7 linked regions of the Mus musculus genome follow. The protein of the gene in region 7 interacts with the protein of the main gene of each other region in a biochemical or structural test. Links are inferred from orthologs where the notes say so. Each region holds a gene or a part of one and is shown on either strand. Other genes may lie near its edges.

The links.
Region 1: of the proteins of Ube2i (region 7) and Hdac4, one has a biochemical effect on the other in vitro, tested with the Homo sapiens proteins (3 studies listed by BioGRID). The link is inferred for Mus musculus from reciprocal best matches to the Homo sapiens genes UBE2I and HDAC4.
Region 2: of the proteins of Ube2i (region 7) and Fos, one has a biochemical effect on the other in vitro, tested with the Homo sapiens proteins (3 studies listed by BioGRID). The link is inferred for Mus musculus from reciprocal best matches to the Homo sapiens genes UBE2I and FOS.
Region 3: the proteins of Ube2i (region 7) and Pias2 form a complex in vitro, tested with the Homo sapiens proteins (3 studies listed by BioGRID). The link is inferred for Mus musculus from reciprocal best matches to the Homo sapiens genes UBE2I and PIAS2.
Region 4: the proteins of Ube2i (region 7) and Top1 form a complex in vitro, tested with the Homo sapiens proteins (2 studies listed by BioGRID, with this or other methods). The link is inferred for Mus musculus from reciprocal best matches to the Homo sapiens genes UBE2I and TOP1.
Region 5: the proteins of Ube2i (region 7) and Usp36 form a complex in vitro, tested with the Homo sapiens proteins (2 studies listed by BioGRID). The link is inferred for Mus musculus from reciprocal best matches to the Homo sapiens genes UBE2I and USP36.
Region 6: the proteins of Ube2i (region 7) and Rbbp8 form a complex in vitro, tested with the Homo sapiens proteins (2 studies listed by BioGRID, with this or other methods). The link is inferred for Mus musculus from reciprocal best matches to the Homo sapiens genes UBE2I and RBBP8.

Annotation. Positions count from the first base shown.
Region 1 is NC_000067.6:92,177,542-92,181,512, reverse strand, and holds the start of Hdac4 (histone deacetylase 4), read left to right. Parts: upstream 1-1,171; 5' UTR 1,172-1,255; exon of another isoform or gene 1,256-1,511; intron 1,512-3,971. UniProt on the Homo sapiens protein: Responsible for the deacetylation of lysine residues on the N-terminal part of the core histones (H2A, H2B, H3 and H4).
Region 2 is NC_000078.6:85,472,760-85,476,689, reverse strand, and holds the start of Fos (proto-oncogene c-Fos), read right to left. Parts: upstream 2,801-3,930; 5' UTR 2,651-2,800; coding exon 2,510-2,650; intron 1,756-2,509; coding exon 1,504-1,755; intron 1,099-1,503; coding exon 991-1,098; intron 874-990; coding exon 232-873; 3' UTR 1-231. UniProt on the Homo sapiens protein: Nuclear phosphoprotein which forms a tight but non-covalently linked complex with the JUN/AP-1 transcription factor. In the heterodimer, FOS and JUN/AP-1 basic regions each seems to interact with symmetrical DNA half sites.
Region 3 is NC_000084.6:77,134,708-77,138,207, forward strand, and holds part of Pias2 (E3 SUMO-protein ligase PIAS2), read left to right. Parts: intron 1-1,072; coding exon 1,073-1,244; intron 1,245-3,500. UniProt on the Homo sapiens protein: Functions as an E3-type small ubiquitin-like modifier (SUMO) ligase, stabilizing the interaction between UBE2I and the substrate, and as a SUMO-tethering factor.
Region 4 is NC_000068.7:160,697,897-160,701,396, forward strand, and holds part of Top1 (DNA topoisomerase 1), read left to right. Parts: intron 1-227; coding exon 228-343; intron 344-3,500. UniProt on the Homo sapiens protein: Releases the supercoiling and torsional tension of DNA introduced during the DNA replication and transcription by transiently cleaving and rejoining one strand of the DNA duplex.
Region 5 is NC_000077.6:118,259,245-118,262,744, reverse strand, and holds the end of Usp36 (ubiquitin carboxyl-terminal hydrolase 36), read left to right. Parts: intron 1-240; coding exon 241-356; intron 357-614; coding exon 615-746; 3' UTR 747-766; intron 767-1,197; 3' UTR 1,198-3,092; downstream 3,093-3,500. UniProt on the Homo sapiens protein: Deubiquitinase essential for the regulation of nucleolar structure and function. Required for cell and organism viability.
Region 6 is NC_000084.6:11,719,849-11,723,348, forward strand, and holds part of Rbbp8 (DNA endonuclease RBBP8), read left to right. Parts: intron 1-661; exon of another isoform or gene 662-696; coding exon 697-809; intron 810-1,791; coding exon 1,792-2,677; intron 2,678-2,755; coding exon 2,756-2,882; intron 2,883-3,500. UniProt on the Homo sapiens protein: Endonuclease that cooperates with the MRE11-RAD50-NBN (MRN) complex in DNA-end resection, the first step of double-strand break (DSB) repair through the homologous recombination (HR) pathway.
Region 7 is NC_000083.6:25,263,432-25,266,931, reverse strand, and holds part of Ube2i (SUMO-conjugating enzyme UBC9), read left to right. Parts: intron 1-1,703; coding exon 1,704-1,813; intron 1,814-2,086; coding exon 2,087-2,166; intron 2,167-3,500. UniProt on the Homo sapiens protein: Accepts the ubiquitin-like proteins SUMO1, SUMO2, SUMO3, SUMO4 and SUMO1P1/SUMO5 from the UBLE1A-UBLE1B E1 complex and catalyzes their covalent attachment to other proteins with the help of an E3 ligase such as RANBP2, CBX4 and ZNF451.

The sequences.
Region 1 (3,971 bases), on a different chromosome or scaffold from region 7:
GGCTTCACAGCTGAGCTATCCTAGAGTATGAATTTCTCCCAGTGAATGAAGCTTTCTAACTCAGTATTACCTTGAGATAATGAAAAGAATCTATTGCTTCTTGCGAATTGTTTTACCTTCAATTTTCCCCCAGTCATGGAACAAAAATGCTATTAAATCTCTACTCAACTCCTATCAGGCAAGGCCTAGTAAATAGGTCAGCATCCTAGGTCAGGCCATGTAGGGTGGACCAGATGCTCTTGTCTTCGTTTTGGATGTGGGATTCTGGAAATATCATGGACACAGGATGAGAAATTGCACTACTCTCCTGATGAAAGGAAATGGACCCAAGGGAGCCAGAAGGATGGCCTTTCACGCCCATCCACATTCGTGAACGCCAATTATAGGCGCTTGGCCCAGGTCTAGAAGAACCTCAGAGAAGGGGTGGTCCCAACAAACCGGGACGCCGTGGCGGCGAACCAAGAATACACCTCCGCAACAGCAGCGGTCCCAGAACCCCCAGTTCCCACGGCCACGCAAGGCCCCACAGTCACAGCCGCACCCCCAAGCGGCGCGCCTGCCCCGGGGCAGGGCGGGGCCCGCCGCGCCTGCGCACTCCCTCTGGGCTCGGCGTCCCCCGCACGCAGCCCACGTGATCTGTGCCTTGCCTAAGATGGAGGTTGCCGCCAGGCCCGGCCGGGCCCTCGCCTTAGTCTGTGCTCTTCCGCGCCCCCTTAGAGCATGAGACAGGCGCTCAGGCACACTGTATTGACCCGGGCAGCGCCGCGGGCTGCCAAGGAGGTCTGTCCACGGCTTCAATCAGTTCGCGCACCAGCTCCCTGCTCTTTCTAAAACAGCAAAAGCTCTCAGAGCGGGCGCCTGGAGAGTCTTCGGTACGCCCCGCTCATTAGAATTGACAATGCTGGGAGCCAATGGGGTTTGGAACTTTTGAGAAGGGCGGACGAAGGCGGAGCCCCTTCGCAGCGCCCGCGAAGCGGGGCTGGCTGTTGGGCTATTGTGGGGCGGACTTAGGACTCTCGGACCAATGGAAGGGCGGCTGAATTCTTGGAGGCGGGGCCGAGCCGTAATTGACGCTTTCTTCATTAGAAACCAGGCAGGGGGCGGCGCCCACGGGGGGAGGTGACGCAAAGCCGTTGTAGCCAATGGCTGGTGGGCCGCCGACGGGAGGGGCGGGGCTGGGGCGCCTGACGGGCGTAGGGCGCGGCCTATCCCCGCGCGGCTCTGCGCTCGAGGGGGAGCAGCATCATGGTTCAACGTGGGTCAATTTTTTGTGAATGAGGAGGGGAGGTTGTGGGGCCGCTGCCGCGGAGCACCATCCCCGCCGCCGCCCGAGCCCGAGCCCGCGCGCCTGCTCGCGCCGCCGCCGCCGCGCCGCCTCACGCCCGGCCCGCTCAACGCGGCTGCTGTCGCCGTCGCCGCCCGAGCCCGCCCGCCCGCCGGCGGCGGCGCAGGCTGAGGAGATGCGGCTCGGAGCGCCGGAGCAGGGCTAGACGCGGCCCGCCGCCGCCGCGGTAAGCCACCGGCCGTCATTGTCCGCGCCGCCCGGTTGCTGGCGGCAGGTGGACGCCCGGCCCCGCCGAGGCCTCGGGGCCCTGCGCCGCGGGCTGGCGGGCGGGAGAGCGGCCTGCGCCGGCGGGCGGGCAGGTGGGCGCGCGGGGGCGGGGGCCGGGGCGTTTATGTAACTTTGTCAGCCTGTGAGTTTGCAGAAAACGCCCCTCGGCGGCGGCGGGCGGCGGGGCGGGGGCCGCGGCCGGGCCCGGACCGTCGCTGGGCTGGCGAGGAGCTGCGCTAGCCCCGGAGACGACCGGTGTCCACCCTGAGCGAGGGTTCCGAAGGCACAGCTTGTAGCTCACACAGCGGGAGTCGGTCGGAAAGGCCGGGTGTGGAACCCGTGTTCTCCTTTAATGCACACCGAGAATTTGTTAATAACTTGCAGCCGCTGATAGCAGTGTTTTGGTTATTGCATGCTGTAAATTGACCTGCTGTGACACGATTTTCAAATAAAGCGTCGCAGAAATTAAACTTAAGTTATTTTAGAACTAATGACTTTCTTAACTAAATCCTAATTGCATTACTGTAGAGACCTACCTAATTGCTTTCCGAGAGCCACTCTGCCTGCCCGGGGAGGAAGGAAAGGCCTGTGTAGTCACTTTGCCTCCCTGCTTTTCTCTGCTCAGGCTTTTCTGTCTGTTCCCACAAACCACCTAAGCATTTAAGGCCTGCGAGTATTAACGTGTAAACAGCCATGGCCCTGTCGCACTTTGGGGCTAGGGGGATGCTGGCGGCTTGCACCTTGACCTGGTTTCGGTTTTTCCTCCGTGATATGATCGAGGTTGCCAGGAGTTTTAATTGCTTCTGATAATTCCGTGCATTATTTCAGGACCGGCTTGATGAAAGCTAGTGTAGTGGTTTCAAAATCCACCCAGAAAGAAGGTGATGGTGGTGGTGGTGGTGTAGGTAGGTGTAGTGCTTGTGGAGAGGCAAGGAGGTTGAATTAAGAAAACTCAGCTGCTTGTACACAAATATACACTATAGCAGTTACAAGGCAGCAAAAGTTATTGCAGAATTTTGCAGTCACTATGGCAACACAATTACTCCATTATAATTGGAAATGCAAAATGCCACCCAGTTAGAAGTTTCATCAGGATGGAGTTTTGGATATCAAAAAATATGTGAGATTTAGTTAAAAATTCTCATTTTTTTCCCCCAGGTAGCTTTGCAGCTCTAGTCTAGGTTCAATTGTCTATTTTTAAGACCCATCCGCTTTCCCAGATCTGCCACTCCTCGGGATCTGTGGCATCTTTCCCCAGAAGAACTCCCCGTTTGTGTGGGAGGGAAGTATTTTCATGCTTTAAAAACACACACCCGACACACTGTAAGACTTCTATGGTTTTCTGTGTTCTGGCTTTTCTTTTAAAGATCAAATGCCTTCCTGAAGAGCAGTAATCACCCAGAAGAGGCTGGGTTTGCTAGAAGGCAGAGGTAACACTGCCCCCTTTAGGGGTCTGCAGGCTGCTTACAGGGTATCTGGGAGCCCTGTGGGGGAGAAGAATGACTGTGAACTGCAGACGGGGCCTGGATAGCCTAGAGACCAAGGACAGATGTGACCTAAGCAGCCCTAGCAAGAATGTCTGTGGTTAGCAACATCAGAGAGCTGTGCAACATATAAAGCCCCCAGATGGCACCTTCTCAGAAGCTAGGGGCTGCTGCTGGTGAGGTGGGCAAGAGAACATAGCACTCTATCTTCCTGGGGCTCCTGGCTCCTAGCTTGACTTTGCTTTCAAACCTGTGTTAGGAGGATGTCCCTCTTGATGTTTACCAGAAGAGCTCTGGTGCTGGAAGTTTCCACACGTCGTGGGGCTGCTGCAGCTTAATTTCGTTAGAACTCTTTCCTTTTAACTACTGCATATTTTTGCCCAGTAATCGACTTCCATTTTCCAGCCTCATTGTGAGGTTTCAATGCAGCATGAACGGCTTTGAATTCCAATCCTTTGATGTTGGGGGTGGCACCAAAGGAAAGGCGACTTTGTGCCGTCCTAATTGCCAGAGCAGAAGAAAATTTCATCACTCCTGTCAAGCCTTGTCCATGCCATTTTCTATTGAAAACGGCTGGTTTTTCAGAACTCTGAAGCTGCCATAAGTAATACATTAATACCTGATGTAGGGAGCCAGGGAGATGCAGAAATGAGAGACACCTGCTGCACGGGAAGATTGGGGTGGCGTGGGGGGGCTCAGTCCCAGGACCAGGGCTTTTGATGTCTCTGGGCCCTGGGGTGACTATGCAGGCTTCAGAGGGTGAATCCAGAGTTGAGCTCATGTCCCATTGGTTGTAACCCAGTCTTGGGGTAGGGGCCCCAAAGAGATTTTTGGAGTGGCTTTGTCTTGGTCTCCAGTGACCATCCAGTGTCCTGCTGCTCAGCCAACTCTGGGCCTTAAGTGTGACACTGACCTTTGAGGTGCAGGTGACGGAG
Region 2 (3,930 bases), on a different chromosome or scaffold from region 7:
TGTTTTGTTTTGTTTTGTTTTTGCTACATCTCTGGAAGAGGTGAGGACTGGAGGCCAGATGTGGATGCTTGCAAGTCCTTGAGGCCCACAGCCTGGTGTGTTTCACGAACAGGTAAGGTCCTCCCTAGGTCGACGGGAACCTTCGAGGGAAGACGTGTTTCTCCTCTCTGTAATGCACCAGCTCGGGCAGTGGCACGTCTGGATGCCGGCTGCCTTGCCTTCTCTGACTGCTCACAGGGCCAGCAGCGTGGGTGAGCTCAGGGAGTCGGAGGAGGGCTCGTTGCTGCTGCTGCCCTTTCGGTGGGCAGCGGCACAGCTTGGGAAGGAGTCAGCTTCAGGGTAGGTGAAGACAAAGGAAGACGTGTAAGTAGTGCAGCCCGGAGTACAGGTGACCACGGGAGTACACAGGGGCTCCAGCTCTGTGACCATGGGCCCCATCCCCAAGGAATTGCTGTGCAGAGGCTCCCAGTCTGCTGCATAGAAGGAACCGGACAGGTCCACATCTGGCACAGAGCGGGAGGTCTCTGAGCCACTGGGCCTAGATGATGCCGGAAACAAGAAGTCATCAAAGGGTTCTGCCTTCAGCTCCACGTTGCTGATGCTCTTGACTGGCTCCAAGGATGGCTTGGGCTCAGGGTCGTTGAGAAGGGGCAGGGTGAAGGCCTCCTCAGACTCTGGGGTGGAAGCCTCAGGCAGACCTCCAGTCAAATCCAGGGAGGCCACAGACATCTCCTCTGGGAAGCCAAGGTCATCGGGGATCTTGCAGGCAGGTCGGTGGGCTGCCAAAATAAACTCCAGTTTTTCCTTCTCTTTCAGCAGATTGGCAATCTCAGTCTGCAACGCAGACTTCTCATCTTCAAGTTGATCTGTCTCCTGCATAGGGAGAGATATAAGAAAGCATAAGACACGGGCATGCTCAAGGACCCTGCGCCCATAGTCCCAAGCTCCAACTTTAATAAAGTTTCAGGAGCAGCAGCTGGTTCAACCTACCGCTTGGAGTGTATCTGTCAGCTCCCTCCTCCGATTCCGGCACTTGGCTGCAGCCATCTTATTCCGTTCCCTTCGGATTCTCCGTTTCTCTTCCTCTTCAGGAGATAGCTATAGAAGAAAAGGACCAACATTCAGTTAAGGTTGTCTAGTGTCACCTCCATTCAGTCACCCCAGTGAAACTGGCTCCTACAGCACCCGCACCTCTCGGTGAAGCAGTTTTTCTAACCTGCAGTTGGCAGGCAGAGTGTGATTTGCATTTAAAGTGAGATCTTTAGCAGGGGAACAAAGAAGCTCCCCGGCTAGAGAATGAAGTAGGAAGCTGTCAGGGAAACTGTCTAGAGTTTGTCTTGGGTCCAACTGTCAAAATCTGACAAGGGAGGGAAAGGGCTAGCAGCCACAGCTCCTGGTCAGGAAGTGCAGTCAGTAGCGTCCCTTCTCTGTTGTGTGGTCTGTGCGTCAGTCTCCGCCCCCCCCCCCCCCCCCAGCCCACAAAGGTCCAGAATCGCTGCTCACCTGCTCTACTTTGCCCCTTCTGCCGATGCTCTGCGCTCTGCCTCCTGACACGGTCTTCACCATTCCCGCTCTGGCGTAAGCCCCAGCAGACTGGGTGGGGAGTCCGTAAGGATGGGGCGCTCTGGTCTGCGATGGGGCCACGGAGGAGACCAGAGTGGGCTGCACCAGCCACTGCAGGTCTGGGCTGGTGGAGATGGCTGTCACCGTGGGGATAAAGTTGGCACTAGAGACGGACAGATCTGCGCAAAAGTCCTGAAACAAAACAAAAAGAGGAAAGCGGAGGTGAGCGAGGAGGTTCCAGACACAGGTGGAGCAAGTGGCCCTAGTGTCGCATGAAGCAGGGAGAGAGAAGCATTCCGGTCAGAGACTGCTTATGTCTTCCTGTATGCACCTCATCGGAGATAAAAGCTCTCCCAATATCCTCCCTTGAATTCCGCAGCGCAGCCTTTCTCCTCCATCCTACTGCTGCGTTCCCGTTATCCCTTCGGCATCACTCGCTCGAAAGGGGGTTTGTTATAAATATCCCTGACGTCTGCGCTGACGCAGGCGCTGCTCCGGAGTCTCCAGAATGAACTCGCTTTTTATCAATGAAACTGCCTTACACACCCGCCCGCAGCACCCTCCTCCCTCCTCCCTCCTCCCTGCTCCAGGCTGCCCCGGGAGGGGGGATTGCCGCGGTTTGCCGCCTCCCAAACTCTAGTTAGCGACTCTTTGCTCGAGACTTGTTGGCCCCGGCTGATCTCAGAAACAAGTCGGCCGAGAGAAGAATGCAGGCAGGCCACTCAGAATAAACCTGCCGCGCGGGAAGGGGTCACTAAGTCTTACTATGACAAGTGTGCACGCGCTCAGACAAGTCCTGGGTTCCCAGGCTAAGGCTGCTCTGACCGCGCCAGTCTCCCTCCAGAGCGAAAAAGGAAGACCCCCCCGCCCCTGCGAGTCACACCCCAGTGTCTCCTCCACGGCGACCCTCAGCGCGGACCTGGCGGCTACACAAAGCCAAACTCACCTGTGTGTTGACAGGAGAGCCCATGCTGGAGAAGGAGTCGGCTGGGGAATGGTAGTAGGAAAGGCTGTCCCCGGCCGGGGAGGCGCTACTGCAGCGGGAGGATGACGCCTCGTAGTCGGCGTTGAAACCCGAGAACATCATGGTCGAAGTTTGGGGAAAGCCCGGCAAGGGGTCCAGGGGTAGACACTGGTGGGAGCTGCAGAGCAGAGCTGGGTGGGAGCGCGGTCACTGCTCGTTCGCGGAACCGCCGGCTCTATCCAGTCTTCTCAGTTGCTCGCTGCAGTCGCGGTTGGAGTAGTAGGCGCCTCAGCTGGCGCCTTTATAGAAGCGCTGTGAATGGATGGACTTCCTACGTCACTGGGCGGAACTGGAAGGGGGGGGAAGCGCGCCCCAAGGCCCTCTGCGGGCGCTCTGTCGTCAACTCTACGCCCCAGGCTTTCAACCCCCGTCTTGGCATACATCTTTCACCTATGAGTGTTCACATTTGGGATCTTAGGGGGTCTCCTAGACCTTCCGCGTGTAGGATTTCGGAGATGGTCCCCCCCCCAGAACAACAGGGACCGGCCGTGGAAACCTGCTGACGCAGATGTCCTAATATGGACATCCTGTGTAAAGGAGGGAGGGATTGACGGGAACAGCTCGCCGGCTGCAGCCAACTCTGAGGGTGCAGCGCAGGGGGGGAACCGGGGCCGCGGCCGGGGGAGGGGAGGCGGGAAAGGCAGAGAAGGCGAGCGAACATTCGCACCTGATTCAATGTGGACCCGGTTCCCAGGGTCAAGGGATGAGACCCGGGTCATTGTCCAGCAATCTGGAACTTTTTTTTTTTTTTTGAGTCTCTGGTATTAGGAGAAGCAAGTACGCAGCCTTAAAGGCTCGAAGCCTCTGTTCCTAAAGGAAAGCTTGCCCACATCAGCCCCCCATCCCAAATCAGTGCAGAGAAGAAAAAGGGGGGGTCAGCTTCTCAGCCCCTCTCTCCAGCTCCTTGCCTGGAGAAACTTTAGGACTGAGGTTGGAAGCAGCAAGTGAAGGATTGTAAATAAGTGTACAATAACCTGATTTAACTACAGTACTGGGTTCATTCATAAATTCGTGTTTTAAAGGACGGCAGCACCTACTCCCCGACCCTTAGCCACTTAGAGCTATCAAGGCGACAGTCCCCGTTGACACTGACGGATAAACATTGTGCAAAACCACCCTACAAGTATGCCTGAAGGGGTCGTATGTTTAGTTTTGAGCTGAGACCAGAGGGCGAGTCGGGGCAGGGGGGGAGCTCAGAATTACAAAGTGAGGTGAGCTCGGGGGGGGGGGGGGAGGAGAAAGCAAGTCGGTGCTGGGGAGATGGGGGTCTGAATACGTGCAGCCTGGAAACTGCGCTTACAAGGAACCCGCCTGCAGCGGGTGATTTTCCAGATCGGACTTGG
Region 3 (3,500 bases), on a different chromosome or scaffold from region 7:
TGCATGCCATTGCACAGAAGCACACTTGAGAGACAGAAGGATTAGGAACTGTTTTGTATATCTTTATAGAACCTATTGTGGTTGGAGCGGCCATATATATCATTTATTAATCAGTGTGGAGACTGGTCATGAATTAGCTGTTACTGAGCAGATTCTTCCATTTGTTGGTGTAGGGATTCTATAGCTTTAGTTACCCAGCGTGTGTACTTACTTTTAGCTCCTTTAGCTATCTGCACTGAAGGGCCCTGCTAAAGGAGTTTGGTAAGTTGAAGTCCATGTGCACATGCAACCTCTGGACTCATTTCCTTTGATTTTCTTCTGGCTCTGTTGAATTGAGCAAGTACTCTGTTACTTGTTCTCTTGTGATTGCTCGAACTCTTAGGAGTCACATTGCATGGGTTGTCCACATTAGTGTAAAGTGTGGGCAGGTATGGTTTTATTGATTTATGTCTGATGGTTTTTCCCTAATGAAATAGCATTCATTTTTTTGTGGTAGGTTATAGAGAATAATGTTATATAATATGATAAATGTGATTGCTTGTATAGACTGAATGAGTAGTGACTAGATGATTCATGCCATAGTAGCTTTGTTTACCAGCTTGTGACTTTTATACGACCACTGGAGTTGAAATGTCTGTCTCTAACTCAGCGGTGCCGCATATAGAAACATGCAGCTACTGACACTGCATACTCAATACTGCCACACGTGTATGATGACAGTGCAGAGCTGGTCACATTCTATACTCTTGTCCCACGGGATAAGGCCAGTTGTCTAACCCTCATGTTCTGTCTGTACACGGATTGCTAACCTAGAAAGACAACATGAGTAGCCCCAGGTTCTGTAGTAACCCACTGATAGTGCTGGAGAGAGCATGCTGTGAAGGGGGCTTCTGACCTCTGTCAGGAATAGCCCTGGCAGTCCTCACTTATGTTGAGTTAGTCCCTGCTAGAGAATATGGTTTCCTTAGCTGTGTATTTTCATGTATATATGCACATATTTAAGACTTCTATAGCTAGTTTTTGTTAATTCTTTGATATTTCTTTTTTTGTCCCCCTGTTTATTTCCATCCAGGTTCAAGTGTCTTTAGTAAACCTTGTTCAGTGACTGTAGCCAGTGATGCAAGCAAGAAGAAGATAGATGTTATTGATCTAACAATAGAGAGCTCTTCTGATGAAGAGGAAGACCCTCCCGCCAAAAGGAAATGCATCTTTATGTCAGAAACACAAAGCAGTCCAACCAAAGGGTTTGTCGATTTATAGTTCACTACTGTTCATTGTACTTGAAATGAATTGTTCTTGGGATGGTTTTGAAATATCTGTGTGAGAAGTAACTATAGAAAGCAATTTTCATCTGCTTTGGTACAGTTGAAATACTTCAAGAAAGCACATTATTTACAGGAGATTAAATTTTGCTGAAAAAATTCGACATGTCTGGGAAGTGGGAGTTTAAGTATTTTTGCCTTGTGTTCCATTCTTGAGCCTGTTCACAAGGGACTTGGCATCTCAGGCCATTTTGAGGAAGTTGGTAGAAGGGAATGCAGCTACAGGAGGCTTCTGAGGGCAAATCCATTCCTGGCACTTCTGTATTCTTGTTAGGTGATTTTGGTTATAATCCTTGATTTTTTTTTTTTTTTTGACCCCCTTGGTGTTGTGTTAAAATGAGGTAAGATAATGCCTGCTTCATAGGATCACTGCTAGGTGTTCATGAGATTATAGCAGAGCTTGGCCACCATGTCAGGAACCTGACAGTTTCTTAGTGAAAATCCATCTTCTCTCCTTTCCCCTTTACAAGCAAAATATGGGCAAGGAGATGGGTGCATCTTACTTACCGTGTACTTTCTATGACTAATACAGGGAAGCTTAGGACCTTTATGACAAAACAGATTGGACAGATCCTTCTCATAAGAGAGATCTTGACACCCACGAATTGTTGTGACAGCCCATGATTACATCCTTAAACCTGTATGTGCTAGTCTCTTCTCTGTCTTCAGTGTAGTTAGTATTTCTTAAGCATTCTTTTTGTACTAACATAAATTACCCATTTTAAGTATATATCACGAAGATGTTTGTTCACCACTGCAAGTCAGTTCTAGCATATATTCAACGAGAAAAAACGCACATAATCATTTGCTTTTATTGTCCTGCATCTCCTAGGTGTAGTCAACATAGCTTTTGCATTACATTTCTGAATTTACCTGTTGTGGACATTGTATATAATGAATTATATTCTGAGTATACTTCAGATTCTTTTTTATAATTCTTTATAGGTACTTTGAAATAAGTTTTAATAGCTATCGTTTAGACTTAACACTTTTGAACTGCTTTCTGAACGATGAAGGCACTTACTCTTCTAACCCAGATATGGTAGCTAATACCTGTGATATCAGTACTTCAGAGGCTGACACAGGATATCACCATGCATCTAAGACCAGCCTTAGGCTTCTGCCAAAAACAAGGACGACAACAGCAACAACAAAAGCTAAAATAAAGTACCTATATTCCAAGTGTGATTTATATATCGCAGTATGAGTATGGGCTTATATTTTTCTGTTACCTATTTAATTAGAATAAATTTTTATTTTTAGTGTCAGAAAGTAAGAAAAGTATTTTAGGGTTTTTTTTCCTACATGCTAATTATTGCTGTTTTGAGACAACTTGTTTAATACTTCTTTTTTTTTTCCATTTTTTATTAGGTATTTAGCTCATTTACATTTCCAATGCTATACCAAAAGTCCCCCATATCCACCCACCCCCACTTGTTTAATACTTCTGAAAATGAAATGATAAACAAGTGAAGATACAATTTTGAACTATTTAGTGAAGTATAGAATCAAGATAGTGGATGCTTAAATATTCTAGATTTTTACTTTATCATGTTAAATATAATTAAATGTTTCAGTTTTATAACAGGATTTCAGACTTTTTCTATTCATGATCAGTTTTTTGTGATCCCAGGAATATGAACTAAATATACAAATTGAACATTTACAGATGATAATAAATCATAAACTTTCAGAAACAGTGTTTTATTATACATACTTTACTATTTATTAAAAGTGGAAATATTGCATTCTAATGAAATAATTGTGCCTATTTTTACATAAAAAGAATTAAGTGGGTGGCTAAGAAGATTGCTCAGTGAGTAAAGTGATTTCCCTACAAGAGTGTGCAGCATCTGAATTTAGGTCCCCACCACCCATATAAAGTCTCTGCATCTGTGACCCCAGTGGTGATTCTGGAGACAGAGACAGGCAGATCCCAGAGGCTAGGAGGCCATCTAGTCTCGTGGGATCAGTGAGCTCCAGGTTCAGTGATAGAGTCTGTCTTAAAAAATAAGATAGAAAAGTGATTGAGAAACATGCCAGGGTGACCACTTCTGGCTTCCATTGACACACAAGAGAGCAAATACATACATTAAATTTGGATAAATGTTTGATATTGTTGGATATAGAACATATCAGTTTTAAAGTACCCATTCACATAAATACATAGTACAAAAT
Region 4 (3,500 bases), on a different chromosome or scaffold from region 7:
TGGATGGTCTTTTAATACTTAGTATCTCTAAATTGAAACTGTTGAAATGAAATTTTTTTAATTACCATATTCTTTCAGTTTGCTTGAAATTGCTGCTCTTTTCAGTGAGACACAGCCTTTGAATGGGCACCACAAATTGATTAGTTAATTATTTTGAATTTAATAGGTGAGGATCTTTTTACTAAGCCAGGTGATCACTTAATGAGCTTGTGCCTTGTCTTTGAAAGGTGGGAAGAAGAACGTTATCCAGAAGGCATCAAATGGAAATTCCTAGAGCATAAAGGGCCTGTCTTCGCTCCACCATATGAGCCTCTGCCAGAGAGTGTCAAGTTTTACTATGATGGTGAGTTATTTCAGGTTGTTTGAATTTTGGCTAAGAATGGTTTGTTTCTATTCAGGGTTAGAAAATGAGGGCACTGCCTATATTGCACAGTCCTAGCTAGTTATTTCACTTTGTTTTATTGTCTATGTGTGGCTTGGGAAAAGGAATCTCAGGTGTTTAATTCAGAAGGACCCCTTTGCTGCTTGAAAAATATGAAAAAGGGGGCTGTTAATGTCTTATCTGTAGTCTAAAAAGGTTTATCTGTTTGGCTCACAGCCTATAAAATACACATTGAAGGTTTTTATTTTGAGTGTGTAACTCAATAGGAAGCTGTTCTGTATTGAGTTCTCATTTAAATAGTAGCACTTAGTGATAATATAGTATGCCAACATGCTGCTTATCACTAGAAATTGTATTAGCAAAGGATTAGTGGCCATCATTCAGCTTATAGGTAAGAAACCTAAGCTATGTCACTCTAAGTAGTGCAACTGTGCCTTTGACAGGTGAATTTTAAAGAAACGCTCTGCCTAGGTCTCTTAATTTTATTTTTTTGAGACATTTCTAACTGTGTAGCCCTGCCTGGCCTGTAACTTGATAATATAGATCAGCTGTCCTTGAATTCAGTAGATGTACCCATCTGCTCCTGAGGCACATGCCACCTTATCTGGCCTCCTTGGGTCTCTTGGAACTTTCTAAAATGTCTGAGAGTTCCACATCTGTGTTTTTGTCCTTGGGTTGAGGGATCTGAGAGTAGCCTCTCACAATCCTTCGACTGACTGTGTATCAGGTAGTAATGTCCAACTGACTCCTTCATTCTAAGAGTTCTGTCCAGAGATGCTAGAGTTCGTTCTCAAACTCTCTATGTATTTATAATTCACCAGGTTAATAGATGAGAGGTAGGACTGGGTGTTTATGAATCAAATAAATGTATTTACTAACAGGGAGAGACACTGGACACCAAAATAGCAAAACCATTCAGAGCTATTTGGTGTATCTCTTTTTTTTTTTTTTTTTTTTTTTTTTAGATTTATTTATTTATTATATGTAAGTATACTGTAGCTGTCTTCAGACACTCCAGAAGAAGAGGGCGTCAGATTTTGTTACAGATGGTTGTGAGCCACCATGTGGTTGCTGGGATTTGAACTCTGGACCTTCAGAAGAGCAGTCGGGTGCTCTTACCCACTGAGCCATCTCACCAGCCCCTTGGTGTATCTCTTTAACCGCCAGCAATGGCTTTAGGAGCATAGATGCCTGTGGGTTTAGGATGAGACGGGTTTATTAGCATCCAATAATTGAAATCTGTATATGAAACAAGTGAATTTTGACCTGGGTCTCATCCTTAAGATATTTTATTTCTCTCTCTCCCTCCCTCTTTTTTTTTTTTTTTTTTGAGATAAGGTCTCATTTTTGTAGTCTTAGCTGGCTTTGATCTCAGAGGCCTGCTTGTCTCTGCCTGAGTGCTGGAATTAAAGATTCCCATCACTGATTACTAATAATACCCAACCTGATACCTTATTTTTACAAACACACCCCCACATACCGTCATTCTCCAAAATCTAGGGGTGAAAAAAATGAAAATGGAAAAAAATCACATGTTTTGGGAAATGGATGTTCAACTAATATTTTCGAAAGGTTCGGAAATGTTTATTGAATATGCTTGTGTTCAGACACCCAAGTCCCAGATAGATAGAGACTACTGATTTAATCTATGTAGGAAGTCAGTGGCATAAAACACTTGGTGGTGTGACTGGCAAGTTTTTAGATTAGCTAACCAGTTTGACCAGAAACTGTAAGACACCCTACACACTAGATCATTCCTGAAGATTTACGAAAATACACAAATTTAAACTTCCTAGTGAAGAGAAAAGGCCTTAAGACCTTGAAAAAGACAATTGCTGTATTCTGTAGCCTGACCTGAGCTCACTAACTTTAGACAGCTCGCTGGAAAAGCCTCACTGTGAAAGCCAAGGTGATGACGATAGAAAGTAGTTTTTTTTTTTTTTTTTTTTTATTGTGGGGTTTCAAGGAAACTAAGGCCTGTGGTCCCTACCTCTAGTTTCCTTTTCTCTGTTGGTCCTCCTAGGATTTCCTCCCTTTGGTTATAAAACTCCTCCAAATAAGTCAAGAGTGTTTGACTTACTAGTGCAAACTGATAAGTAAGTACTGGTAGGCAGGACATTGCTGCCTTGCCCTGGACTTCCCCCTGGCCGCCTCTGCACAGGACATGAGTTGGCTGAAGCACAGAATTGCAGCCGCTGTTAAGGACCTGCCATTTCAACTCTGACTCAACAGTTTCTTTTTGTTTCCGGGAGCTCAACTTTTCCCACAAAGTACTACGATGATTGCTGGGAACCTACACACCCTCCACCACTCCGGTGCTATAGCTGTTACTTAATCCTTCCACAGCCCATTTAAAACAAATCAAGTAGGTTCTTTGTGGGTGGGACAAAGCCAGTGCAGTGCAAAGGCTCCCCACCCAAAATAAGAACACTATTGGGGAATATTTAGTTTATGAAAACAAACATACCAGGGAACACATTCCTTAAAATTTCCTTATCTATTTTTATTTTTTGTTTTGAGATGCTGATTTTGTAGCTGAGACCAGTTTCAAATGCACAATCCTCCTTTCCCAGCCTTCCGAATGCTACAATTATAGGCTACTGCTACCTTGTCTTTTTGCCCCCATTTGTTTGTTTGTTTGTTTGTATTCCCCTCCATTATATTTGAATCATGTTGCTGTTTTGCTGGCAACTCTTGTTCAGACTGAGTGGGGAAAACAGGAAACACCTTACTCAAAAAATCCTTTTCCAACACAGAATCTTGAGTGTGCTGAGGAAGAGCTACACCACCTATTTGCCTTTTAGGTTATGTCTTCTAAGCTGATAATGTACCTGTAGCACAAGTTTGTTTTGTGATGTATTCCCTATGTTTCATACAGTCTGGTTGAGCAATACTACCCATTATGAGATGAGATGTCTCTCAATTATTACAATGAGTAGGCTTCTGGTTAAGTTTTAGATTTCTGTAATAAATTTTAATTCTTTTGAATTATTATTAGTACTTACATAGTTGTAAGTGTGAGATATTAATCTCATTTAGAATGCAGCAAAATGCTATTGTGGCATAAATTGTTTCTATATAATATTATAAAGTTGATTTTTTTTTTTTTGAGAAAAGA
Region 5 (3,500 bases), on a different chromosome or scaffold from region 7:
ATGTGAACAAAAGGGCCTTTTCCTAAAGTGGGAGCACACAGCTTACAGAGAGGGATTTGCAGTTGGTGGACACAGCGGTCACAGCGTGGGTCGTGTGACCTCCCTTCATTTGCTTCTGTTAAGAGACAGTCAGAAACCTAGAGTGGTTAGAATAGATGGCCCTATTCTAGAAAGTGAGTCCTGAGGACAGTCTATAGGTGACCAGGACCCATGGACGCTGACAGAATATATCTTGTACAGTTTTGACCTGGGATGGCGAGCCTTCAGCCATCAGTCAGGACGCCATCAAAGACAGCAGACTAGCCCGGACCCAGACCGTGGTTGACGACTGGGATGAAGAGTTTGATCGAGGGAAGGTACGGTGCGAGGCTGTGACTGGGCTGGGGCAGCGGTCAGCCATGGCTCAGCCTGAGCTTGGAGAGCAGCTTGCGTGCAGCTCTGCACAAAGCAGTTGAGACCCCAGTTGTGCCCCCAGTACACTGGGCAGGCAAATAGGGATGGGACCTCCATCAGAGGGCGCCATACATGGCGTGCTTACTGTATCTATGTCCAGGAGGCTCCAAGGCTTGGAAATGTCCTCTCTGGGAACTGTGACACTGTGATTCTTGATTTAGGAAAAGAAAATTAAAAAGTTCAAGAGAGAAAAGAAGAGAAACTTCAATGCCTTCCAGAAGCTTCAGAGTAGGCGCAACTTTTGGTCTGTGACGCATCCTGCTAAGGTGGCCAGCCTCAGCTATCGCCGCTGAGCTTGCTGTGGCCATTAGAGGTCAGCTTGGTTGTGTGTCTTATCTGCTTGTGTAGAGGTGGTCTGTGGTATGTGTGTGTTGTTGTGTACCTCTGTATTGTATGTCTGTCTCTGTGTTAGCTCATATGTGTATATCTGGCGTGCATGTAGCATGTGTAAGTCTCTAGTGTATGTATCTGGTATATGTGTGGTCTGTGGAGTTTGTCTTGTGTGTATGTGTTGTATAACTATTTATGGTAGTGTGTCTGGTATGTATGCAGCATGTGTGGCTTGTGATATGGATAGTGTGTGACCATTTGGTATATGTGGCCTGTCTGTGTGTGGTGTGTGTGGTGCACGAGTTTTTGTGTGTGTCCTGTGTCTGTAGTGTGTTCTAGTTATTTGTAGGTGTGACTGTGTCTGTTGAAGGACCCGGGGATGTAATAAGATTGTCACATCTCTGTTCTCACCAGGAAGAGCAGTGTGCCTGTGCCACAGCATCCAGAGCTGTCACATCACATCCTTGGAGCTGTCTGCTTGGATCTGAGGATCGCATCGTGCATGGTCATGGTGGAGGCTCCTGGTCCCACTGTTCACAGATGATCCGGTGCAAGTGCTCAGCTCAGGGCCTCTGGTGGTTTCACGTTGAACCTCACAAGAGAAAACCTGGCCTGTGGTGTCATGCTGACAGTAACCTTGGAGACCTCTGGAAAGGTTGAGCATCTTCCTCATAGACCTGTGGTCCAGTAGGAACACCGTTCCTGGCCTGGGGCTGTCAGATAAGGAACAGAGGCCAGGGTGGCATTTGGTGGTGCCTTTTCTGGTGAGCTGTCCTTTGCTCTCTGAAGCTGGAGCTGTCTCGTGGCTCTCCTCTCAGAGGGGCCTCTGTATGACTGACTATCAGCTGCAACAAGAACAAGCCCTGCTGACTGCACTGCCCCCATCCCCACCCCCAAAGTGCATCTCCTTGAAAGACCACCACTTCTTCCAGAAAGCTGCAGCTGCTGGGCAGGGAGAGCCTCTGCTTCCGTGGCTGCCAGCCCTGCGGGGAGACTGGCAAGCTCCCGCATCTGCCACAACCTGTGGATCTCTGTCAAGGTGGTGGTCTTTAGAGACGAATTCTCCGTTATTTTACTACTTACGATAAAGCCTTTATTTTTGACCAGGCCTGTGGCTACCAGTAGCAATATGTTTCTCTAATATGCAGACACTGGCTTTGTTTGCTCAATTTTGTGAGTGCTTTGACATTGACATGATCTCCTTCCCTGTCTTGCTCAAGCTGCCCCTATGGACTTAGGGTTAACAAACAAGACTCCTCACCCAGGAGACAGAAGGTGCCAGAAGGTTCCTCCTCATGGGGTGCATCTCTTCGTTCCCCAAGCCCCAGCCTGCTCTGGGCTGGGCTCCTAGTCTGGGCCTCTTGGGAGCGCTGGAGCTGCCTCTCATTTCCATGTGTAGCGTTCTGTTCAGCTGCAGGCTCAGGGTCTTACTTGCTGCAGATGTGGGAAGAAAGGGTTGTGTTCTCCGTGGGCCGGAGTTGAGGTCCTGTTTCTGTGTGGGTGTTTCCTTCCTGTCTGTTTCTTTCCCTTTAGAGAAAAGGCGAGAACAGTGCCCCTCGATGGGTCTGCTGGTGAGTGAGTCTTCCAGCTGTATGCGATGGTCCTTGTGTGGCTGCTGTCTGGATATTGTGTCTGGGAGTGCTGTGGGCTCCGTGTTCTCTCAGAGGGGGGCAGGGACCGTCCTTCTGAGGTACTGCCATCCTTCCTGTAGCAGCTGCTTCCTGGGTACATTGGTTTTCTTTACAGCCTTCTCTAGTAGAAAGGTGTAAAGCTGCCAGCACAGAACTGATCTGTCTTCCGTGTCTCCTCAGATTGGTTCCTTCCTTTGTGCTCTAGATTACGCAGTGTAAAGTCTCCTCCAGGGGCACGTAGTCCACTGCCTCTTAGGCAGTCATGATCCCCCATCTACTGTCCTGACTTCTGGCAGCGTGTGTTGCTGTCAGTGATGGCAAGTCCTTTTCTTCCTTAGAAGCCATTAGGAACAGGTCATGGGTGGAATGAGTTCTTGGTGGCGTACTGACATAAATAATTGAAGCTTTCCTAAAAGTAGTCATTTTGTTGGGTCAAATCAAATCAGTTTGAACTTTGTGCTTGGCAGTAGACATGTTTTAGGCCCATTTGCAGAGGGCCACCTCCCTGGTGTTTCTGTTCTTGCTCACCTGCCTGTTAGGGGCTGTTTCCATCCAACATCCTGTGTGGCTGCGTCTGTATGTGTGCAGGAATCCCCGTACTCTTCCACTTCCTCTTCAGGGGTCCCCAGATATTGCCAAGATCTTGGTGCAATAAAGTAATGCATTTTTTTTTTGTGATACCTTTCTGTGTCTGCCTTGTCTCTTCGTTTTTAAGAAGGCGCGTGGCCAGGCCGCAGCCCCAGGTCAGGCGGATGCTTCCATGCTGCTCTTGGGTGACCGTCCACAGCTGAGACGGGAGCGCCACCGCTCGAGCCCAGGCAGGAAGGGCCATCTTGGACAAAGAGATCTATTTAAGTTTATCCCAAAGCTGTATTTGTGTAGATTTAAGAGTGAAGACACTCACTGGTTCGGTAAACCTTGGGAGTGGTTGTAAGTGAATAGTGGAGAGCACAAACAAAGCAGCGTCCACCAGGGCTCTGTTGTGCATTGGAAGTGACGTCATTCCAACACTGCTCTCTTGTGAGATTATGTGGCAGTAGGGCGGGATGAGGATTTGGATCTGAGTGCGACCCTATGGCACCGGCG
Region 6 (3,500 bases), on a different chromosome or scaffold from region 7:
GATGTATGCAAGGCCCTGAGTTTGACCACTAACAAAACTAAAACAAACAAGTGACAGATTTAAAATAGTCCTTCTTTGCTTTTTTTTTTCTTAGAAAACTGTCTGACTGTTGAGTTTCTAAACCTTGAGTTCATTTTTCATTACATTTTGTGTATTTAATAGTCTCTAGTTCCTTACTAGCCATAGATCTAACAAGTTCAGATATGAAAATAAGGGAGGAGCTATCAAAGAACTTTTCTTACAGTCCATTCACGGCAAACAGCGTCTTTATCATTCTTGAATGTATTACAGGCACAGAATTTCAGATCTATTCAAACTTGTGTTTTAATGATTCCCAGTTGACTTGTATGCAGTCTTGAGAATTTCCTCTAAAGTTTGCTTTTACATTCACTGTGTTTTCTACCCTTCATTTTAATGTATTTTGGTATTGAACTATTTCTATGCAGTAGTAAGTTGTATAAAGTATAAAATACTAGTACTTCCTTCTCTTCGTATTTTTATTGTGATAAAATTTAAATAACAAAACTAGTCACTTCAAAGTCTGCAATACAGTGCTATTTATACATTCACAATATTATACAGCTTCATTCTGTCTGATTATATAGCTCTTCATTCTGGCTCCGTTTACTTCATATGTTTTTGGGATTTATTTGCATTGTAGCATTTATCAACTTTAAGCATACTTTACTATTGAAGGAACCCCAAGGTCCCATGAGCCCTCTGGGAAGTGAACTCTACCACTGTCTCAAAGAAGATCACAAAAAACACCCTTTTATGGAATCTGCAAGAAGTAAGGAAGATAGCTTAAGGTAATTTTGAGCATATATTTTTTTGTTCTGTTTTGTTTTGTTAGTGTAGCTCAATAAACCCTACAAGGCTGAATATCAGCAATACTGTACTCCCCCAAAGGGCTGCAGATACTATGTCTATATTCTTTTCCTGTATCATCAAGCAGCATTAAGAGCTCCCAGTTTTGCTTTAGCCCATTAAATACAGTCATTACATTGTGTCTCCAAACACTAACTGGTGTGGAAGATCCACTTTATATTATAGTTGTGTGTGAGCCTGTGATGTGGATGTGCACCATGGATTCCCAGGAGGTAACGGGTCAGAAGCCCTTGAACTGGAGTTATAAATGACTGAGAGCCACCACGTAGGTACTGGACCTCAATCTGAATCCTCTGCAAGGGTTGCCAGTGCTTTCAACCGCTGAGCCACCTGTCTAGCCCTATTTTGTTTTTGTTTTGTTTTTCTCAAATTTCATACTATTTACTAGCAGGACCTATGTTGATAAACCATTGTTAGTGTATGAATTGATTGAAGCTTAGAGGATTTCTTTTGTCGTCTCATTCATGCCCCTTCTCTCATGCTTCCTTCTCATATCTTGCTTGGTTTTAGGTACATCTGTTAATAACTTGTCAAGTTGAGTTTTATTCACCTGTTCCTCTTTTCTTTAAATAGATAACAAAAATGTGACTCCAAAGGTTGAATATCTTGTTCAAGTTCTATTGAGAGAGCTTGCATTCAGTTCTGTAGTTTAGGAATTTTTTCCTTGGGATTACTTATAAAATTTAATGATAGCAAAAGTCCTCAGTGGGCTTCATTTCTACTTTCATTTTCTGTTCTGCTAAATAAGAAGAAACCACTGCATCTTACATTTGTGTTAACCCTCTGCCTCTAATAGGTGGATAATGCCTTACTATTCTGTAGCAAGAAATGTTTTCTGTTTTTTTAAATTTTTACCCTATTTTCAGTTAAAAACAAAATCTTACATATTCTTTATTTATTTAGATTTTCAGACTCTGCTTCAAAGACACCTCCTCAAGAATTTACTACTCGGGCGTCATCTCCGGTATTTGGAGCTACCTCTACTGTGAAAGCTCATTTGGGTTTGAATACAAGTTTCTCCCCCTCTCTCTTAGACATTGGGAAAAAAAACCTTCTGAAGACAGCTCCCTTTAGCAACATTGCTGTTTCTAGATCAGAGAAAGTTAGATCCAAATCTGAGGATAATGCCCTTTTCACACAACATAGTCTTGGGTCAGAAGTGAAGGTCATTAGCCAGTCATTTTCTAGTAAACAGATACTTACAAATAAAACTGTAAGTGACTCTGTAGATGAACAGTGCAGTGCTGACCACATGAATACTACTGTTGCTGATAAATATTTGGTGCCTTTGAAATCCCTGGGAGGCAAAGCATCCAAAAGGAAGAGGACTGAGGAGGAAAGTGAGCATGCAGTAAAGTGCCCCCAGGCCTGTTTTGATAAGGAAAATGCCCTTCCTTTCCCAATGGAGAATCAGTTCTCCATGAATGGAGACCATGTGATGGATAAACCTCTGGACCTGTCAGATCGGTTTGCAGCTACTCAGCGGCAAGAGAAGAACCACGGAAACGAGACTTCTAAAAACAAACTTAAGCAAGCCACTATTTACGAGGCTTTGAAGCCCATTCCAAAGGGCTCCTCCTCAGGCCGTAAAGCCTTGAGTGGGGACTGCATGCCAGCCAAAGACTCTTGGGAGACATACTGCTTACAGCCGAGGAGCCTCCAGTCCTCTAGTAAATTCTCTCCAGACCAAAAAACACCATTACAGATAAAAGAAGAAAATCCTGTCTTCAAAACACCTCCATGTTCACAGGAAAGTTTGGAGACAGAGAATCTCTTTGGTGATGTGAAGGTTTGTGTTAAATGTTCAGAGATTTTGATTAAAATTGTTTGTGATTTCATTTAGGTGCTAATAATTATTTCTGCTTAGGGTACTGGTTCTCTTGTGCCAACAAAAGTAAAGAGCAGAGCAGTCCATGGAGGATGTGAGCTTGCATCAGTTCTTCAGTTAAACCCCTGTAGAGTTGCTAAAACAAAGGCTCTGCCAAGCAACCAAGGTGTGTGCATTAAAAACAGGATCTCTCCTCTTTTTAATTGGTTTACAGTCTTTAGACAAAAAAAATTTGGGTCTGGGGGAAGCTTATTTCTTTCTGTATATATCTGTTCGCAGCATAATTCTCACTGGTTTCATCTCACTTTAAATGTTTCTGCTCTTATGCTTTGTCAAAAATCATTTTAAATTCTTTGATGCATATTTTTAGATGGTATAGATTTACTTATATAGTTATTTCTTACTTCCTTTGCAAAAGCTTTTAAAAAGTATTTTAACAATTCAGTTGGGGTTTTTGTTTGTTTGCTTGCTTGTTGTTCTTTAGTTTTTAGAGGGAGTTTAATTTGTTTTTAAAGGGAGGCAATACTAGGGATTGAACCCAGGGCCTTATCCTTGCTAGGGCCCTTGCCACTAAGCTCCATCTGTAATCCTAAAGTGTACATCATGTTTAAAAATAATTCATCATTTAGAACTTTTTCTTTACTGCTTAGATAGCCTATCCTTTTTCTTTGCATTGAAATGTTTGTCTGTAAGCTTATACAAGTTAATAGGTTTTTAACTTAAGTCTTATAATTACATGTGCATGCACACACCCCACCCCTGTGCGTGTGTATATACATGTGCC
Region 7 (3,500 bases):
GGGTTAGAATACTAGCTGCTCCTCTAGTGGACCAAGGTTGGATTCTAACATCCCATGACAGTTCCACTACAACTCCCGTCCTAGGGGATTTGACACCCTTTTCTGGCTTCCATGAGCGCTACACATACATGATCCACAAACATATATATCTACACATATTAAACATATATATCTACACATATTAAAAACAGGGAAAAAATTGGGGTTGGGGTGAAACAGGTTTTCCTGTGTAGCCTTGGCTGTCCTGGAAGTTCCTCCACATACCAGACTGGCCTCAAACTCAGAGATCTGCCTGCCTCTGCTTACCAGGTGCTGGGATCAGAGGTGTGTGCAATCACTCTTCAGTGGGTTTTAAAAAAAAAAAATTAAGGTGGCTGCCAGAAGTGCCTCTGTGGAGGCCTGGCCCAATTGTGAGACAGATGGGCTGGAGGAACTGATGAAATTAGTTTGGGGTCTTGACACCCAAACCCTCTCCATTTGCTTATCATTGTGCCCATGGCATAAGTCACTCTCAGGTCCTTCCTCACAGCTCTGCTTGGAGAGGCATGCAGTAACTCAGAGCCATTCTGTCTGCACAGAGCAGTTAGGGAGGTTTCTAGGATTCAGCCTTAATGCTGGTGTTGATGCTTTGTCTCATTCTTATTAACTTATTAGCATTTTGTGATGCTTGGGATTGAACCCAGGGCCTCACAGATGCTAGCTAGACAAGCGTTCCATCACTACACTCCCACCTTTCTTTTATTTAAAGCTCGAGGACAGTAAGGGTTTAACAAAATTGGGGGTGGGGGTGGCATCTTTCATCCCACCAGAGTTCAAGGCAGGTCAGCCAGGGCTGTATAGAGAAACCCACTTTTAAAAAACAAAAGAAAGAAAAGAAGGAACAAACATTCATTCCCTCCCCAGAGCAGCAGTAGTTGTAAGTCTCCATACGAGCCCCGATCCTCTGGAAGAACAGTTAGTGTTCCTAACCTCTAAGCCCTTTATCCAACCCCACCTCACCCCTGTTTTGTTGTTTGTTAAACAAGATATCACTAAGATGCCTAGGCTGGCCTTCCATTCATAATCTTCTTGCTTAGCCTACAGAGTAGTTGGTATAGGTGTGTAGTTGATGCTGCTGCTCAGCTCATTTGTTTGTAGTACTGGGAACTCAGCCAAAACCTGATGTATACCAGGGAAGTGTGCTGCCGCAGAGCTGCCCCCCGCCCCCCCAGACCCCTTCATTTACTAAAAAACAAGCTGCCTTTAGACTTGTACTTTTGGGGGTGTACAGGTTTGAAAATAAAGCGAAAGAAGGTTGCCTAGATCAAAGTGAGGCACCTTCTCAAGTATCAGCTATAGAATAGTACCTGAGTTTGGAGTAGATTTTTCTACTATTGTAGAGAAATGTGGTGTACTTGAAGCCTGTGTACACTGAAAAGGTCTTTGGGGCATGCATTCTAGCCTCTTTCCTCTTCCTATGAACATGAGAAGAGCATAGGCTTAGTCCCTCTGGCTCCTGACCATGGTGTCTTCTGGCTGCTTTGTCTAGGCTCAGCTCCTCAGGAAGGAAAGGCGTACTCTCCTCTTTCTGGACCCTCTGCTATTGAGTTTCTGAGTTTGTATCTTTTAAAAGAGCTCTAGTGTCAGGAAGACCGGTCAGGGCCAGCACAGGATGGGGACAGCATCTGCCTCCAAAAGTATTCCTTCCCCTCCCTGTCCTCCAGGTAAATTTGAGCCCCCACTGTTTCATCCAAACGTGTATCCTTCTGGCACAGTGTGCCTGTCCATCCTGGAGGAAGACAAGGACTGGAGGCCAGCTATCACCATCAAACAGGTATGGAGTAGCACCTGACTGCCCTCTTAGGGGTTTGTCCTGGTCACAGTAGCCAACAGTGTTTTTCACAAGCCCTCTCAATGTAAGCTGATTGGTTTGCTTTGGTTTTTGGAGACAGGGTTTCTCTGTGTAGCCCTGGCTGTCCTGGAACTCACTCTGTAGATCAGGCTGGCCTCGAACTCAGAAATCCGCCCGCCTCTGCCTCCCAAGTGCTGGGATTAAAGGCGTGCACCACCATGCCCGGCGAGCTGATTGTTTTTGTTTCTCTTACAGATCTTATTAGGAATACAAGAACTTCTAAATGAACCAAATATTCAAGACCCAGCTCAAGCAGAGGCCTACACAATTTACTGGTTAGTAGCAACTGCCAGCTGGCTAACCTTCCTTTCCTGGAAGTGCAGACTGGCTGCCTGTCAGGTTGGAGCTCTGGGATATGAGAGCTGAGAGGGAGTCCCGGGGAAGAGGCGCATACTCCCACTGGGTGGCAGCACCACAAGAGCCACCAAGGACACTGCATGTCTGACTGGTCAGGAACAGAGCCATGTGTACACGGAGCTTACTCTGAGCAAGGACAGGGCCCAGATGTGACTGTGGGCATAGAACAGGTGGTGTGGGCACTGATGGGCCATTTGGAGTGATCTGTGGTAGGTGTATAAAAGGTTGTGGCCCATTGCATAACACAGCCTCGCTGATAGAGTGCTCTTGGCTCTTTTTCTATCTACTGAAGGAGAATAACCTCCCATGATCAGTTAGGACTTGAATAACAGTTGAGCCAGTTCTGTAGGCAGCACGGAAAACACTTAAAATAGAGGTCCAACGAGTATGTGAGTGCACACACTCACGCTTCATCCTTGCTGACTGTGAGGATCCTGCTAATCTAGGCAAGGACTAAAGTTACTGTGGCTGGAATTCATTCCTAAGATTAGTGTTACTGCAGGGACCTTGACCCCACTGTTCTCCCTGTGTCTCAAGTACCAACCGCCTACTCACCCCAATGGAAATAGAGCAGAGGTCCTCTGAGCAGAGTCCCAGGCACCCCTGTCTTAGCCCATGGCTCTAGGGAGGTCTGTCAACCCACTAGAACTATGTGGGACAGGAAGGAGTGGGTGTGCACTGTATTGTCAGGGAAGGAATCAGAAGAAAATTGGGTGCATATCCAACCTTGATACTTGTGTGCTGCCTTCTCTGGTGGCCAGGGCAAGCCTGTCTAGCATCCCTGGGAATGTAGCTTACACCCATTGGTGCAATGTTGTGTACTGACTGCCTGTGCTCCAGGGTCTTTCAGGCCTGACCCTGTGTAAGATGCTGTGACAGGTCAGCTCCATCAGTGTTGTGTTGTGCTGCCTGCACCAGGCACAGGCACAAGGAGTATGCAGCTCATGAAGCGGTGTGCTTCTGCCAAGCCCTTGGAGCCCCTCATTGCGCTGGTGCTCAGCAGCACTCTGCCTTAGACCAAGCTCTGTTCACGGTTGGCCTTAAGGTGTGGTTCCCGGCTAGCTAACATGGCTCTGTTTTTCCAGCACTTAGTGCAGTCCTTGGTGCTGGGGTTTCTCTCCTGCATCATCTGGGTTTCTGTCAATAACATGTTTTGTGCCTGCTTTCACTGTGTATGTAGAAGCTCTTGCCCCTCCTTCCTGAGTGGCCTTGCTGTCATAGCCTTGTTTAGTGAATGGCAGTACTCTTGGTT